Drosophila melanogaster: one gene and its partners. The gene in region 3 interacts genetically with the main gene of each other region. Each region holds a gene or a part of one and is shown on either strand. Other genes may lie near its edges. The genes, in order: CstF50, Not1, tut and IntS9.

Region 1 (4,282 bases), on a different chromosome or scaffold from region 3:
GCAGAGAAGGAAGGGAAAGAGACGGCGAGAACTGCAGGGCGTTGTGATTTATTTTCTACCCCAGTGACAGTTTCACTTGCCGATTTTCCTGCATGTTATTTTTAAATCTTTGTATTTGCATCGAAGTGCAAATTGGAAGAAGCAATGGGAATGAAGGGGGAAAGAATATGCAAAAATACTTCGTCAGAGATGCAGGGCAGGAAAATAATCTGCTAACCATGTGTCATCATGCCGCGGATATTTTTTTTTTGCCTGCGAATTCCAATAGAAACTACTCGGGAATAAACGGCTTGAGAACGGGAAGGAGAAACGGGTACAATCCAGGCAAAATCGAACGCGCACACACATGCAGCCGGTCGCCATGTTGGAATTCGAAAGTCTATGCAACTTTATTAATTTACTTGCAATTTAAGGTCGCTGGAAAACCAATTTCCAATTCGAATCGATTTACACAGCTATTATGCAAAAGGAATGAGAAGACCGGCCGGCAGCGCAAATCACTTACACTCTCTCACTTTTCGGAACTTTCTTTACTTTAGAACTTTCTTTAGGTTGGAAAATCGAACCGAAATTCGCCTAATAATGCAGGGTAGGGAATTCTGGGACTTTCCCTTTTTACATTTCCACAACTAATCAATGCCTATTAATATTTTCACAATTTAACGGGAGCTCTGCGTGCACTTACCTCGAAATCACAAAACGGAAAGACCGAAAAAGCAACGATGCTGAGGTGAACGGAGCTGAACTGATTCCGACCTAGAGATGGCACAGGATTCCATGTATGACAAGGGCCTTGGGTTTCCTATTGCATTATGCGGATTTCTTGACTTAAATAAAGTTTCCATCCCTTAAGTATAAAACGTACCAAAATAAAAATAGTAATACAATTTTACTACCATTCATGGAATATTTTATATTCTCTTAAACTGAGTCTTTTGCAGATAAAATAATATAGTACTTTCACGGACTGTCACTAAAAGTATGCACATTCACCACTAATTGCAAAAGACATTGTGCACACTATTCGCTTATGCGTTGAAATAAGACGCAAGCTCCTTCCTTTCTCTCTCTCTCGTCCTGTCGTACGACAGAACAATAGAAAATTTGACAGAACAAAAATGTTAGAAAGGAATTTGAAAAAATACTGTTAATAGTAATGTAATGTAATTAACAGTAATGCTTTAATACGTAGACCTTTTGCGTTCGTCTTTACTTGCCTATTTTATTGTATTAAAAGAATTAAAGTAAGTCTAAACATTACAATTAATAGCATTAGAACCCGAAAACGACTATAATGTACATTGGTCAAGAGCCATTATTTCCATTCACTGTCCGACTCGTATTCCTCCCAGTCCGGTTTCACGCCCACGGGCAACTTCTTCTGCTCCAGGTAAACGTTAAACTGCTCCGGAATCGACATAAATCTGCGAATCTTCAAGCGGAACTGCCGCCACGTCCACTGGCCAAAGTTTTTCCGATCGGCAACCATCGCCTTGTAGTTAAACTTATGTTTGTTAAGAAAGTAGGACAGTTCCTTGACCACGCCCTTGGGTAATCTGTGCAAATACAAAACCTGTATTTTGACAGTTTTCCATTGCAGAATCAATATTTTACCTGAACTCTGGGTCGGCTCGCTCGCTAGCCAGTTGTTCTAGTTCCTGGACTACGTGTCCACGTTTTGGACCCTCCTCTACGACTGGTTTCTTGAGGCCCAATACACGCCGCTCATCCTCGTCCAGCTCCTCCTCCAGAAACCCATTCACAACTCGGGCCGCTAGGAGGCGGTCCTTCTTGTAGCTGGGAATCGCAATGGCCTTGTTGACGTCCTTGGCCAACCCCATTTCACTGAAGTTGGTGCCCACACGCTGGTCCTCCATCCACATCTTTTTCATCCTGGGACTGGTAAGATCATAACAGAAGGTTTTCGTAAACTTGTTGACTCTATTGGCTGTAAGTGCACCAAGATCCAACTTACTCCTTAATTTTTCCGGTGGAACTCCGGGTTTTATTCATCGTCTTGCGGTTTACATTGTAGCGATAACGCTTGCGAGCATGATTCTTGCGGATCTTCATTGTTGAGAGGTTTAATTAATGAATCAAACAATGTTTAAAATCAATTGAGGGGACCAAAACAATTTTAAAACCGCACGTGTTGCAGCTGTTAGGAGTGACCGTGGACCGTAAAATACCGAAACCCTGATTTCAGTATTTCAATACCGCATAGCTAGAGATGACATACCGGCAAGATAAATGTTTTCGATAACGATAACGGCACGGCGTTATCTACAAGATTTTGTTTATATCCGTAGGAAACAAAATATAAATTAAGCCACCATGCGTGATGAGATTTTGGACCCCAGTAACCTAGTGAAGAACCGGGAGATACTCTACCGACTGATGATCAGCCAGCTGATGTACGACGGCCTGGAGAAGTTCGCCATGGAGCTGTCCATGCTGGTGAAGGCGGACCAGTGCGCTCCCAGTGAACGCCTGCTGCACGTAATGATTGCAGGGATGCAGACGCTGAGCGACAAGGACAAAACCAACTCGGATGATGTGCTGCCCGGCATAGACTTGGAATTCGAGCCGGAGGCTTCGGCCTTGGCCCCGGAACCACATTCCTACGAAACCGCGTATGTGACCTCGCACAAGCAGGCCTGTCGCGCCGGCGCCTTCAGTTGCGATGGTTCCCTGGTGGCCACCGGGAGCGTGGATGCCAGCATCAAGATTCTGGACGTGGAGCGGATGCTGGCGAAGTCTGCGCCCGAAGATATCGAGCCGGGCAGGGAACAACAAGGCCATCCAGTGATTCGCACGCTCTATGATCACACTGATGAAGTGTCTTACCTGGAGTTCCATCCCAAGGAGCACATCCTGGCCTCCGCCTCGCGCGATGGCACTGTTAAGTTGTTTGACATTGCCAAGCCTTCGGTAAAGAAGGCCCACAAGGTGTTCACCGACTGCGAGCCGGTGCTGTGCCTGTCTTTTCATCCTACTGGTGACTACGTAGCCATCGGAACGGAACATAACGTCTTGCGGGTCTACGATGTGGCCACCACCCAATGCTTCGTGAGTGCCATTCCCTCGCAGCAGCACAAGGCTGGAGTTACTTGCGTGAAATATTCGCCCACGGGGAAACTCTACGCCACAGGCAGCTATGATGGTGACATCAAAATATGGGATGGGATCAGCGGGCGGTGCATCAACACCATTGCCGAGGCGCATGGCGGAGCGGCAATATGCTCACTGGAGTTTACGCGGAATGGAAAGGTAATGGGACACTATGGGTAGTGGCTGTGCAAGATTTTAACTTATTCATTTTAGTACCTCCTATCTTCCGGTATGGATTCACTGGTTTATCTGTGGGAGCTGTGTACCAGTCGTCCCATTCAGACGTACACGGGCGCTGGAACCACCGGCAAGCAGGAGCACCAGACAGAGGCTGTATTCAACCACACAGAGGATTACGTGCTTTTCCCCGACGAGGCCACCACTTCGCTTTGCTCGTGGAACTCCCGTAACGGCTGCCGCCTGACCCTTAACTCGCTTGGACACAACGGACCTGTCCGCTATATTACGCATTCGCCCAATGGTCCTGCTTTCCTCACCTGCTCCGACGACTTTCGGGCACGTTTCTGGTACCGAAGAGCAAATAATCAGTAAACGGATGAAGCTACACCAATCGAATAAAACTTTAAGGAATAAAATATGTACACGTTCATTATTCAATTATTGTGATTGGCTGTGGGGGTTTTTAAGTGTATCGATTTGTGATTTTATCAGAATTAATGAAATATGTTTCAAACGCTTTTAAAAATAATTAATCAGTAAAATTTTCTTTATTAAAAACTCGTTTGTGGTTTTTCCATGAATAGTTATCCTAAAATCGCAACTATAATTTCTAGTCATTGAGCGCACAAGTCTTAAGTCGTATTTGTTGCGTTAAGTAAACTGTAAAAATCATAATACATAATACCAGATTGGGATTCCGTATAAATATCAGTTGTCTCTTCACTGGAAGTCCGTTTTGTTGTACGCTGGAACATTGATCCAATGCCTTATGACTACACCTAGATCCTAGTTAAGTGGCCTTAGTAGTTAATTAAGTTTACAACATTTCGTGGGGCCGCAGAACAGCGTTGTCGCGTTCCTCCGAAGCCACCAACACGTTTTGAAGATTGCACAATTAGCCAATACATTTGATTCCAACTTGTTGCCAAGGAAATGAACAAAATTATACTACGGACTTTGAGTATTAAACAAAATATAGCTATGTACAACA
Region 2 (4,869 bases), on a different chromosome or scaffold from region 3:
CGTAGGTGAAATGAAAAGCGCCAAGAAGCAACAGCGAATACGTCAAATATCTCTAATCTCCAATACCAGTGCACGCTAAACGTGTGTGCTGAACAAAAAATTCTGGTGGCCTCCAACAAAAACAACAGCAACAAGAAACATCCGCTGAGGAATTGACAACTGATACGTAGAATTATGAACGTAGAGAGCCAACTGAAGACACCGCCAACGCACATTCGAAATCTGGTCAAGCACGTGAACAAGCGAAATTTTAATGAGAGCAGCGAGCAAATAAATCAGGTAGGTGCCCAAGTTATTCTACCAAAGTTTCCATGAACCATTTCCAATTCATTTTGTCAACAATAACAACAACATTTTGTAGGGGGCGGGGGTTTAGTGTTGCCAAACCGACAACATATCGCACCTGGCCAACCAGAGTTGCCAATTGTTCGCACTCACGAATGGGCTATTGCCATTTCACTCGCTCGTGCATTTTTGCCGACGCCATTACAGTTTTTTGGTAAAGGCAGCTGAAAAAATTTCTCTGCACGGCGTTGCGCGTTTTGTGAGCGTTTTGTTTAAGCTAAAAGTTTTATAGAATGTGTAAAACCAGGCCAATTGTGTGCGCTTAGCCACAAACGTGTTTCGTGAGTTGATGGCAGTGTGAATTTTGCAGCGTAGTAGTGCGAAATCGAATTGCGAAATTCGAATTGGGAAGCCCAAGCCAAGCGCAGGGCTTTTCGGCCCCGAAACTTCTGTTTTTTCATTGCCAAACGAGAGAAACCAAATTGAATAGTAAGTTCGTGGGACAAATTGCGTGGGAATATCAATTGCGGCCGCTTTCTTTTCGCTAGAGTTGCAATATGTCGCACTTTTTCCTGTGACCCCCTTCCTTTCGCGCACCGTCATGCTCTCTTCTCTCCTTACCCATGTAACGTTTCGCCAACGTGTGCGAGCGAGAGGGCGCGTGTGTAATTTGTTGTGGAGCAGCTGCGACGGCGGGGCCAAAGCTGTTGTCTCGCTCCCCCGTTCGGAGTGAGGCCTTGATTCCGGACTCCGAGCTCCGGATCAAATATTTCAACAGTTTTGGATCCGTAGGGAGGGAGGGGGATATCTAGCCTCCTAGAAAAGTTTTGCCATTCAAATTAGTATCATAACAAATACTTGGCTTAGAATGGCACCATTTGCCCAACAATCCCCTAAAAAGTAATCGTTTGTGGGACAAACTATGCTACAGATCCCGTTTTCTTGACAGTAAATGGCATATTCCTCAAAAATTAAAAAAAATGATAAAAAAAAATGATAACAAAACAGAGTCATATACTTCAGTATTTTGAAATTCTCAACAATCTATATCTGCCATTTAAAAAGCCTGATAAGTTTTCAAGTTATTCGAACTCAGTAGGATTACCAAATTTTCACTGATATTCAATGTTGGAATGAAGTACTAGGATAACCCAACGGAATTTATAGTAAGAAAGGTCTAGGAATTTGTTGGATTCCATGGAGAAATTATCGGATAGAAAATACATTAACTAACTTAACGATAGCCCAATTTGAGATATAGTCTTCCATTTAGTTATAGCATTCAAGATAATCTCAGAAACCTGTGAGCCCAACAATGGTGCACCTAAACTGGAATTCCCAATGATAAAATTCATGTTTTAACCCTCTGGTTGCGCTTTTAAAAAGCCAATTGGGTAAAGTTTTTAAGCGGGCAAGAAATAATGACTTAATGGATTTACTTTTGAAAACAGTTGCCTGGAGTTAGAAATAATCCCTCCAAAATGTTACTTTACATCTTGCCCTGTATCCGTAAACACATATCCAATTGTACAGAGAAAAGTTGAGACACTCACAGAACATAATAGAACCTGTCAAAATTTCCAAGTTTGCGATGAAAATCACATAAAAAAAAATCCCGGTCACCGCAGAATCTGAGGAATCGTTTGAAACATACACTGTCCCTTATACAGTGATATGTGTCCCAGATTGCGGGCAGTCGCTGTCAAGGCACTTATATTGGCTTCCAAACCCTACGCAATGCAGCTCTTTGATTCTAAACCATACATTACTGATAGCATTTACGACATCTTGCAGTTCGTTAAAGAGCACGGCCTGGAAGCGGATCGCAGCAGCCTGCGCCACCTGTTCTCCGTGATCAACTTCAGCGATCTCGTGCCATCAGTTACGGTCCAGCTGCAGGCGAAGCTCCTGGGCATCCAGTTGGAGCGTCAGCTTCACAGTTCATCGTTTGTGTCCAACATCTGCTACGCTTTTGACCAGTTCTTCGCCAGCAACCAGAAGGTAAGTTGAGTTTACAATGCCCACAATGTGTTGATTACTTATGGATACTCATTCCTAAGCAGTCCCTGAAGCCTGTTGCGGTAGCGGATCTCGTTGGCCAGGTCGCCCGACTGACCGGCATCAACAAGGTTTGTGAGTGCGTCTTTGCCTTGGCCTTGACCCACTCCTCGTACACAGAACTCAAACATTCTGCCAGGAACAACCTAAAAGGTAGCCTCAGCGAACTTATAGACTCTTACTTGGGTAATAAAGGCACCGGCCCAGCCGACAGCGGTCTCCGGGAGATCTCCTTCGATCTACTGCAGTATTTGTTGTGCTGCCTTAGCGAGTACGTACAACCGCAGGTGGAAGCACAGTTTTTGATCAAGCTTCGTGAGGAGTTTCCGCGCCAGGCGGTACCGCTGGTTCTAGCGCCGTTCCTTTACGGCTCGACGACGGCGACGATTGCGGGAGCAGGTGCCAGCGAAACGGATGCGGAGGCCGAAGCGACGACTAATAGCAACAGCTCCAGTTTCGAAGCAGATGCTTTGAACGAGGTGGGAATCGAGGATATTTATGACCATTTAAGCGAGATAATATTCACCAACCAGGTGCGTAAGACACTCATTGAAAAAGACAATTCGCTAATTGAATGTTGTGTTGCAGGGCAAAAATAATATTATGGACACATCTTGGATTAATCTAATCCTTGAAATCGGTTATGAATTTACATCGAGCGTTGAAGAGTGTAAGAATCATTTGTGTTCCCGCGAGCGAGAACGCGCTGAGCTCCAGTCCAAAGATGTCGCCAAGATCGTGGGTCTTATGTGCCGACGGCACTCCTCCCTGCTCGATTGTAATGTGAATCTACCGACGCCGGCGAACTTCTGGCCTGGTCAGGGACAGGGCGGTGGCAGCAACAGCAGTGGCTCTTCGCAGACACAAATCACTCCGCAGCAACAGAACCCGGGCAGCAGTAACAACAACGATGGCAGCGATGGCAATTCGTCCAGTGATAAGAAGGACAAGAAGGAGACGACGGAGGCCACGCAAACTTGGAAGCCAGATGTCTTTGTGCAGGCGCTCAAGGAGGTGGTGCCTCAGCTCAACTGGAAGGACGTGTGCATGGGTAATAGCTAGATAATTGCTTCGCAATCGCCAATCTATAGGAATATCATTCTTAATTTTTAGAACTTGATCATCCCGAGTTCGTGCTGAAGGATCGCATCGGTTTGGAGCTTTTGCTCACCATCCTTCGGCTGGCCACTGGCTCTAACATATTTCCACATCCAGAATGCATTTACCGTCACTGGGCAAACACGGAAGGTCAGCTGTCGCTTATCGCGACAATGCTGAAGAACCCGGATCTCTTTTCCTTCGCCGACTTTGTATTTAGCCAGCCAGCGTTGGATGTGCTTAAGACGGCTCCGGATGCGGACAATAAGGAGATCTCGTCCTGGAAGTCGCTTCACCTGGTGGAGGTGCTGCTCTCCATTGCGGACAAGGGATACTATACGCAGGTCCATGAGCTATTCAAGTTCCCAGCGCAGAACTGTCCCGATGTGCTATTTTTGGCCTTATTGAACACAAGTCCGCCTATGACGCCACTGCGTCAGGATCTGTTTAACCAACTGATACCAACGTTCCTTGGCAACCATCCCAACTCGAACGTGATCTTGGCCAGCGCCTGGAGCTCGAACAACTTCCAACTTCGTTCCAATATCATGAATGCTATGTCCGAGTGGTATCTCCGAGGCAATGAGTTCGATCAGGTGAAACTGTCGCGCATCCTGGATCTTGCCCAGGATTTAAAAGCGCTATCAGCGCTGCTCAACGCCCGTTCATTTTTATTCATTATCGACCTGGCTTGCCTTGCCTCTCGGCGCGAGTACCTGAAGCTGGAAAAGTGGCTTACCGATAAAATTCGCGAACATGGAGAGCCTTTTATGCAGGCTATAATCAAGGTTCTGCACCGCCGCTGCCCGCAGGTTATCAACGCAAAAGTGCCAGAGGATCAGCTGCCTCCCAAGCAGGCGCAGCTTTTGCCCGAGACAGTTACCACCATGATCAACTGTCTGCAAACGTGCATCAATAACTGCATGCAGCCGGAGATGGTCGAAGTCATCATGCAAATGACCGCGAACGTGGCGATTATGGCTAACAAGGCGCGTGCCCAACAGCAGCAGCAGCCAGGATTGGTTCCGCCGCCTCCACCAACAATTCTGCGCGGCCATCGTGGTATGGATCTGCCTGGAGGCATAGTCCCTCCGCCACCGCAGCAACCGTTCTCCGGAAACCTCAACGCGCAGATGTTTGGACCAGGAATGGATCCGCTAACGAATATGTCCAACAACTTAGCCGGCCTCAACCTCAGCGGCCCGAACGGAGCATTTAATTTTGGAAACATGCTAAGTAAGTGGCATTCATAGGCAATGAGTGCATAATCTATCACAGATGCCTCTTAATCCTATCTAACGAAATTCTACGTGCAATTTCAGCTTCTCCATCGCGTCTGATGACTCCGGGAGCCAATCCCTATCCGCTGAACCTCATGCAGATGCCGCAGGCTCCGCCACCACCCAACGTAGGAAACCTAGGCCGCAT
Region 3 (3,935 bases):
GTTCGGCCATTTCCTCAAAGCAATCCCTCAGATTTTTCACAGCACTTGATCGGCGGTTGACCTGATCTATGACATTGGTGATCTTGATGAGTTTCTCTTGGGATAAGGAACTGGAGGAATGGGTTCTTCCGCTGTCAGGTGCATCCCGATTGAATGTGGAGCTCGATGGATGCTGCTTATTTCTCGAGAGCTCATACTCCAATAGTTCGACTCTCTTCTTCACAGTGTGACTATCAGCACCATTTGGGGACTCGAAGCCAGTCCTTGGATAAACTTGGCTATCCTTCGAGTCAGAGGATCGCGTATTTGTTTTTCGTATTATTGTCACAATGCTGGCAAAACTACTGGTCGTAGGATCATTTTCCGATTGTTCGGAAACCTCCTTGATGGGTTCCAGTTTCCTGGGTCGTAAAATTTGAGTCGAGCACTTCTTGAGCAGTGTAGGTGATTTGCCAGTAGCTAACTTCTTACATGGCTGGCCTCTGTACTCATCCAAAATTACGTTCAGATTCCTACTGTAGTTACGCACATCCGTGAACGGTTCCTTGAGCACTCCAAAGTCCTTCAAGTGGCCATGCATGAGCAGCATCAGGCTATTTCGGGCCAACTTCTCGCTGAGAGGAGCCTTCTCGAATATCTTTATCCATCTGGCCATGATGGGGCGATCCGACTGCTTAGCCCTTGCCTGATCGGCATACTTGTAACTGGCTAGCTGCTGCCTGAAATGGCGATCCAGTAACTCCTCGCTTAGATCCTTCATGGCCACATTCGCATATTCAACCGGAATCAACTGATTTTGTTCCCAAAAAATATTTGTAATTTTAATGATTTGAATAAAATGAAACCGCTTACTCAAATCGGGTAAGGAAATGCGGAAATATAAGTGGGACTAGTGGCCTTACTCGGCGACTGTCACCAAACGTCTCTCAACCGCAGAAAGGGGAGGGGGGTCAAAAGTGGAGCTCAGGGTTTCTCAGAGATGCTTCAAGTGGTGGGCCCACGTCTGGCAACAAGCACAAGGAGCAGCGACACTACACTTTAAACAAAGAATATCAGAGCTTACTTTTCAAAGAACTTAATGGATTTTCTTGTCGAAACACTCTTACCTGGTGCGTCTCTACACTACGTGGACTAAACTGGACTTCACAGTGATAGCTTTTGCATTTACCACTTCATTTAAGAAAACTGTTGTGTATTAATCTAACAACATGTTACCTCCCACAAATAGTTTAATGTCAGTAATTTGCTTATGGCCATTTCGAAACAATGAATTATTAGTGTAACAGCAGTAGCAACAAAACAGTATGCGGTTGCCACGTAAATTTTCATTAGCGCAGCGCGCGTATAAATTAGGAAAATGAAGCAGCAGCAGCGGCAGCAGGCACTTGAGTGCACCGCAACCTCCATCAAGATGCCCCCTGGTGGGGTGAGTGGGTGGTGGAGTGGGTGGCGGATGGGCGGCTTAACCGCAGCAACAACAACAGCGAATGCGATGCGAACCTACATACATACATACATAGGTGCTGCGGCTTGTGGCGAACTGTGAGCAAAAGTTGCAAACGACCGACTGCCTGCATAAATTTATATTGTTAAACATGAGCTAGAAAAAAGCACGCGCAGCCTGTCAAAAGAAAGCAAAAATAAAGAGCAAAGAAATTGCCTGACATGCAAAAAGCGGTTTGGAAAAAGAGTAAAGTAAATGCATAAAGTACATAGCAAAAATAGAATACCTTCGTATAGAGCTGAGTTCGCAGCAATGCCAAAAAAAGACCTCTTACGCAAAAATATAATATGAAAACACTCTCTATTTTACACAAATGTTAAACATTCAAACAAGTTCATAAACAATAATAAGTTTATGCCCCTCCGTTACTTTACCTAAGTGTTAAGTATAAAGAATTTTACCAACTTCATTGACTATCTGGCAACGTCGCGAGCGTTGTATGTTTTAAAGCTTATTTGGTCACACTAAATCATTGGCATCTTAGCTTTTTTTTTTTTTTTTGATGCACGCGTGTATGCTGTGTATTTTTTTTTTTTTGCTATTTTTAAAATGGATTTCGAGAGCAAATACTGCACCAGTCAAGTAAATGGCACTATTACCATAACTACGCGCAAAGTCCTTGATGAAAATCTAAAATCCTTACTGGATGAGGGAAAGGGCGAGGTGAGTGTCTAGTGAAGCATCTAGTCTCAAAAGTTTACGGAGACACTAATACGTTTTTGCTTCTAGCTGTTTCTCTCGTGTATACCGAGGAATCACAGTTGTTCTCCGCGGTGGATTGTGGAAGTGGCCAGCGAACTGGGTGAAGTTTACATTATGCGCTATAAGATTGATTTTTCGGGAAATTCTCGCGGCTACGCCTACTTGCAATATATCAATGTGGACCTCAAGGAATCGGCAATGCAATAGTACGTACTTCGTAATAATTTTCACATAAAACAGCACTAACCCTAATAATCCCAGTCTGCCAATGCGATTCCGACAGCTTTGCATGTGCTTAAGGGTGGAGCCATCGACCAACAATCGCGAGCTGGTGCTCAAAAACGTAGAATCGTCGCTTAGACCATGGCAAGTGTACCAGGAGATGTTGAAGATACATCCCTTTACCATCGTTCGAGTCTACGAGTATCAATTAGACCAGTTCTTCTATATATTTGAGTACCGCAACAACGACTCGGCCGCAAGTGCCCATCAGAGAGTAAGGAATTCGATCAGAAAATTCGGTGAGCATGCGCACATCTCCTGGTTGACTGCGGAGAACATCTTGAGCAGAGCCAGCGGTAGCTTCTGTTTTCAACGGGAAGTAAGCCAAAATCGTACTCGACGCGTTCCTCCCAGACAAAAGGGCTGTTTCAAGTTTTAAATGGAAGTGGTATCAAGTATGTTACTTTATTGGTTCATGCTACCAAATCCATAAGGCTCCAAATGTTTTGTTTGTACTACACGTAAGTAGGACGAAAATGTATAAAATACTTTAATACTTTAGTTATATTTTTTCTATTGTTAAATAAGTTTATAAGTAAAATAAGAGTACTCTTAAATAAGTCAACCATTTAGATATGAATGAAGATGTTTATTGCTTGATTTGTGTAAGTTTTTGTAATACGTGGAATTTGAAAACAAGAATATGTGTTTTGCAAAGTTAATCTCTGATTTTTTAATGAAATTTTAAAGCCAAATATCAAATCACTTTTAGAATGCATACTATACCTTAAAAAAAAACTAACCAAGCGGATTTTGGAATTCCTGTGGCTCTCTGGGCAGTAAATTATGTTGCTGCCCATGCGAATGTAACATAAACTTTCACCAGTTGTTAGGACAGGGGGAAATTATACACAGCATTGTTCCTGGCAAATCCTTTTGGCCCGCCGCTTCTCACTCTGATGAAATGCAGCCGCAGCTTGTTGACTTCATTAACTCTGGGCAAAAACAGCGAGCAGCCATAAAAATAAAAAAAAATAAAAAAAACAACACCGACAGCGCAGCGAAGCTGCAGTTTTTCACATGCAAATTAATGCAGTGTCTTTGGAGTGGCGGAGTGGCAGCCAGGACTTTCAGGGCAATGCGACAACCTGCGGCATAATGCAATTAAATGAGTGCAGCGAGCAGGAGTCGACGCTAGCCTCCGGCTGGCATTGTGTTGGACACGGTGTCTGGGTACCGGGTCTGACTCCAGATTACGGGTCTCCAAAGTGCAATGATCGACGGACGGGAGTGGAGGGAGCGCAAGACATCCGTCAGGCGAAGGATGCACAGGACGCGAGGTGCGAGGGACAGGTCCGCTGCGCATTCTAATGCGATTGCCGCACTTGACGGGATGTCGTGGCAGGCGGAAACGGATGTTGTTGTCCTGCTCAGCTCTGCACGGTTGCAATTAAATTAGAGCCTCAAATCGAAATGCAGCCGTAACATGATGATGCAAAAATAAGAA
Region 4 (4,881 bases), 7.9 Mb from region 3:
CGGAACTATGCGATATTTAAAAGGCGTAATTGGAGAGAAACAATCGGGGGAGAAGCTTATACGAACTTCGGATAAGAGCTATCTTAATCGTTATTTGTTAAGCCAGCTGGTTGAATTTGAATCTGAGGTAGGAAATTTTGTTAATCTTAGTTTTTCAACTAATCATGTCAATCGCTTTTAAGGTGGAGAAGCTATACCAAGCTTATGAGTACAATCGTGTTGTCGCCTGTGTCCAAAACTTCATTGCAAATCAGGTGTCCGCCGTCTATGTGCATCTCATCAAGGATCGTCTTTATTGTGGTGATGATCACGAGCTACTGGCCATTCGTCAAACTCTTACCCACTGCTATCAACAACTCTGCAAGAGCTTATGGCCCATTGTTCCCTTCCTGGTGGAGGAAAGCTGGAGCTACTATGACACCACAGGTGGTGCATTCCACGAGCAAATTGTTCAGACTAATCCTGAATGGCAGGACACCAAAGCCACTGAAGTGATTAATGCAGCGTTCGATGTTAAACGACTTATTAACCAACAGGCTGGAGATGTTAACACCTGGCACTTGGCCGTGACCATCAAAGGAAAGGAAAGAAGCCAGCTGGATTTGCTGCGAGAACTTCACAGCCCTCTTGGAGAGTCTGTGAGCAATTCTGAATTATGCGAGATATTGCAAGTGGGGTCAGTTACGCTCTTACAGTCCCATAATAGCGACTTGGATATTGCTTTAAGTAAACTTCAGATATCACTGTGCCCACGTTGTCGTCGCTATGGTCTGGAGGATGAGCAGAAAACGTGTCAACGTTGCTCTGACGTTATGGAGGCAAAGAACTAAGCGTAATGATGTGTTGTTATTTAGGTGTAAGGAATACATTTATGTTTTTAAAAACTCTGTAAGCATTTCATGATGGTGTCTCGCAGCTTGAGCCGGGTTGTTGGCTTTCCGCCGCAGATAATATGCGTCTCGTTGTCCTCGAACTTAATGACTGTGTCCTCATTGACAAGGTTCAGAGTCAGAGCGCCGCCAGTGCGGTCTAGCTTGATGTTGGAGAAGCCATCCTGTGCCAGCTTCTTCATCACTGCATCTACATCAATGCTGCCATACTCGTATTTGACGTTCTTCAGCACATCCTCCTTTGTCGGAGCGCTGTTGCTCGAGATGGTCTCGTCTTTAACGCTATCCGCACATGGCTGGATGCAGTGGACCTTGTCCTTAACTTGCAAAACTCCTGTCAATGTGGAGAAGGTCACGCCGGCCGCCACCTCCTTTGGCGATATCTTTTGGGCCAGTTCCGAGGTAATGTAAATTCGATCCAGCTTCCGTTTTAATGGCAGACGTATGATCTCGCCGCACTTGAACGTTATTATCTTCTTATCCGGCTGTTCAATGAACAAATTTGGGGCCGAGGGATGTGGTTTTGTGTATGCCTCTGGGATGACAAGCACATTTGGTTTCAACTCCTTGATCAGCTTATTTGCCTGCTGATAATTCAAAGAGGTGTCGATGGGACAGTAAAAAGCCTTCATGGCCAGTGGTTGGAAGGGCGCCAGTACTTGCAGATACGGAAAGTCCGGCTCCGTGAATATGATGGAGTTGTTAGGGTTATTGCCCCACATCTCGATAAAGTGAACAGCGTCGCCGAAACGCAAGCTAGGATGGCCACAAAAGACCACGCAGGGCTGTAAGGAAGACAGAGAATTTGTAGTATGAAGTTTTCACAATTATGTTAGACAAACCTGCCGGAAGTCCTTGCTAAAGCCCTCGGAGAACACATGGTTATAGTGCTTCAGCTTGTTGTTGCGAAGGTAAAAGGCATGTGGGAAAGGATCGTCTGGAAGATACACTTTGTTCTGCTTGGCGGAACTAAGCCACTCGGCCAGGATATTAGAATACGCCAAGGAGCTGTCTGCCACAGGGGAAATAAAGAACATGGGAACATTGTTTAGGCCAGCGTTTTCCAAATTCTGGGTGAGGCACTCAAAGAGGTCATAGACAACGCCCGAAGGATAACAGGGAATCAAGGCAGACCCATTGTTGCGGATCGTCAAGGCCACATTCATGCAGAGCTCGCCCAGCTTCGTGTCCGGATTTACCGTCGGCGCCTGCGTCAGTCCGGTCATAATGAGTACATCGGCGTGCTTCAGCGCCGACTGATTGATGGGCCGCGGATGTGTGGTCAACGTGGAGGAACCACTGACATAGCAAATCTTTTCATGCGCCGTGCTCAGTACCCAGTTGCTCGAGCCCAGGCAGTAGCCCGAGCTGACAGGAGTGGCGATAAAAGCTCCGAGGATGTCCAGCTTCTCGTCGTAGCCCATGATGGTCACCTTGGACAGACTGCCTTGGACATCCTTAAGACTAAAGATAGTGCGCCACTTCTTGGCGCGAAAGGCTTCGCTCAAGGGACTGGGCAGCAGATGAAGCTTCTCCTTCCACAAGCGCGCGGTGCACGCCTTGGGCGACACTTCGATATAGTCCACCAGCTCCTCCAGGAAAAATCGGCCGATCTGCAGCGTTGGCTCCGTGGCATAGACTTTGCCCTTGAACCCCGTGTTTTCCGTGATATACGGCAAGGCCAGCATATTAAGATAATTCGAGATAAGTATCACATCCACTTCGCTGAAATCCAGCATTTTGTCCATGGGTAGATTAAACTCGGGCGTCGAGTCCACGAAAACCCGGCCACAGCAGTCCTTCAACTCGCCATCCATTTGGGGATCATGATCCCGACTGGGCACGAAGTTGGGCAGATTGGACCACTTCAGTGACTGAACGAAGGGCAGCGGAAGGAAATTCAGGACTGTCTGCTCCGTGAGACCGCAGTCCAGCATAATCCGCAGGCCCTTGAAGGTAATGATATAACATGGCTTGGCCAGGTCCCCGCTGAGACAATACTGCAAAGTGGATAGTCACTTCCGCTAATTAAGTTGTTATTTACTTCTCAGGATGACTTACCAATCGCATTTTATTAAACCGACAGTGCCGATTAGACGATGCAAGTTTGTTTATATTTGGACCAGGGATGGGGAACGATTTGGTTCACTTATGAACCGGAATCAGCACCCGGCTAAATCATTAACCATAGGTACCAAAATTAGTTAATTACAAATTTTGGTAAATGTTTTACTACTTGTTAAACTGTAGTCATCACGCTTTAACATTTGTGCAACCACATTTTTTTCACTCCACTTGTTGCAGTGCTGTTGGTTTCCATCCCTGGTCTCTTTATTTGGTTTTTCGCAAATTTGAATAATGTCCCAGCAAATTCGCGTGGTACAATGCATTCAATGCAAAATGTACCAGGTGAGTGCAAACAAACTGAAATATATCTTAGAACTCAATAACTACTTATATATATATACCTAATTTAAACAAGGTGGACTTCGTGAAAAAGGCAAGCACATGGCAGTGTAAAATTTGCCGCCAAAAGCAAAGTTTGCTCAAGGAATTCTTTCGAGGATCGGCAGCGGAATGCCGGGTTAAGGTGCAGCATCTCAACTTAGAGCGCGGAATGCAGGAGGAATGTCTGAACACGGGCTTATTCCTCACGGCAAAGCAACAGCTCGAAGAGGAGAAAGACTGCCAAGAAAAAGAGGAAAACACCACACCTCAGAAGAAAACAAATAAATGGGCAAACTATGTGGATAATACCATTGAAACTACTCAAAAGCCTGCAGCAAAACCTACGAAAACCGATGAACTTTCCGACGAAATCTCTATGAACTTTAAGAAAACCAGGAACACAGGGCCACGATCCTCTAAACGTTCCGCTGAAAATATGCCAACAGTTACTAAGAAAATTTGCTCTAAGTGGAACGACTTCTTGTAATTCCTTAAAAATTATATATCATATATATAAATATATATTTGAATTAATTTCAATTAGAACTTATTTATAAAGCGAAGAATATTATCAGTGCTAGATTATCTCCAATTAAGATTTCCAGTTACGTGAATGAATTAAGCTTATCTTTATTAAAAAAATAATTTAATTATAATTGTTCAATACGTTTTATTAAAATCCGCTTCGTTCTAGTATTTGTGTATATGAGTGTGAGGGCCATAATGTTCACATTCAAACTGAATACATTGCCTTGCCTTGCACTAATGCTAGAAAAATACAAGTTTTATGATCCACTAAATATTGTTAGTTAAAGTTGGGGTAATTTGGGATTCACTAATCGCCGATTGGGCAACATGTTGGACATGCTTAGCTCCTTGTGCCCCAATCGGTTTGAATACTCGTGTATAGATTAGAGTTGGTTATAGTTAAGTGACGCCTGGTCGCGCTTTTATCTTGAGAGAAATTGTAATATTAGTAGCCGACTACGTGTATATAACCTATTCTCGCCGCTTAGGTGCTGGCAGGAGTGCCTCCGACACCCTCCTTCTTGGCCACCTTCTCATCGGAGCCGGTCTCATCGATGTCATTGGACTCGGTCTCCGTGCCGGGTGCACCACCTGCCTTGCCCGATGACCTACGTCGCTTGCGGTTGACACGCCATGGACGCATTGGAAACTTCATCGCCGGCAATGGCTCCATGCCAAGCACTTTGTAAATCTGTCGAAAGGCAATGTAGCGCAGGAAGAGCTGTGCGGACACAGTGAGATCCTCGCGCTCCTGTTTGGTCAACTCGAGTAGAGCGTCTGTGGGGTCCTTCTCGCAAGGATCCAGCAGGCCCGGTCCGTTGATTAGAAAGCCTGACGATAAGGCCTCCATGATGCGACGCATGCAGTCACCGGGCGAAATGGGAAAGCCAGCCGACGAGATGACCTTCTCTACGAGGAGCTCCAAAGACCATTGGGGCAGCGATTGCCAGGAAGAGACGCGCTGGCACAGATCCCTGAGGATGCGTATGACCATGACGCACGACTGGAGGCCTGT

Evidence for each region.
Region 1: of tut (region 3) and CstF50, changing one enhances a phenotype caused by changing the other (phenotypic enhancement), as found in Drosophila melanogaster (one study listed by BioGRID).
Region 2: of tut (region 3) and Not1, changing one enhances a phenotype caused by changing the other (phenotypic enhancement), as found in Drosophila melanogaster (one study listed by BioGRID).
Region 4: of tut (region 3) and IntS9, changing one enhances a phenotype caused by changing the other (phenotypic enhancement), as found in Drosophila melanogaster (one study listed by BioGRID).

The regions. Positions count from the first base shown.
Region 1 is NT_033777.3:31,734,933-31,739,214, reverse strand, and holds CstF50 (cleavage stimulation factor 50 kD subunit), read left to right. Parts: upstream 1-2,251; 5' UTR 2,252-2,334; coding exon 2,335-3,270; intron 3,271-3,324; coding exon 3,325-3,663; 3' UTR 3,664-3,712; downstream 3,713-4,282. Other genes in the region: CG11563 (uncharacterized protein), read right to left, coding at 1,316-1,556, 1,615-1,899, 1,976-2,073.
Region 2 is NT_033778.4:9,573,595-9,578,463, reverse strand, and holds the start of Not1 (Not1), read left to right. Parts: upstream 1-1,768; 5' UTR 1,769-1,959; coding exon 1,960-2,286; intron 2,287-2,345; coding exon 2,346-2,876; intron 2,877-2,931; coding exon 2,932-3,394; intron 3,395-3,456; coding exon 3,457-4,677; intron 4,678-4,763; coding exon 4,764-4,869.
Region 3 is NT_037436.4:8,208,790-8,212,724, reverse strand, and holds tut (tumorous testis), read left to right. Parts: upstream 1-1,981; 5' UTR 1,982-2,053; coding exon 2,054-2,167; intron 2,168-2,233; coding exon 2,234-2,412; intron 2,413-2,467; coding exon 2,468-2,867; 3' UTR 2,868-3,148; downstream 3,149-3,935. Other genes in the region: CG8006 (uncharacterized protein), read right to left, coding at 1-760. UniProt on the Drosophila melanogaster protein: RNA binding protein that forms a complex with bam and bgcn, involved in 3'UTR-dependent regulation of a subset of mRNAs. Preferentially binds a long isoform of mei-P26 transcripts.
Region 4 is NT_037436.4:16,102,604-16,107,484, forward strand, and holds IntS9 (integrator 9), read right to left. Parts: upstream 3,025-4,881; 5' UTR 2,961-3,024; coding exon 2,952-2,960; intron 2,891-2,951; coding exon 1,733-2,890; intron 1,676-1,732; coding exon 878-1,675; 3' UTR 831-877; downstream 1-830. Other genes in the region: IleRS-m (Isoleucyl-tRNA synthetase, mitochondrial), read left to right, coding at 1-127, 183-830; CG43295 (uncharacterized protein), read left to right, coding at 3,249-3,299, 3,373-3,825; Zn72D (Zinc-finger protein at 72D), read right to left, coding at 4,351-4,881. UniProt on the Drosophila melanogaster protein: Component of the integrator complex, a multiprotein complex that terminates RNA polymerase II (Pol II) transcription in the promoter-proximal region of genes.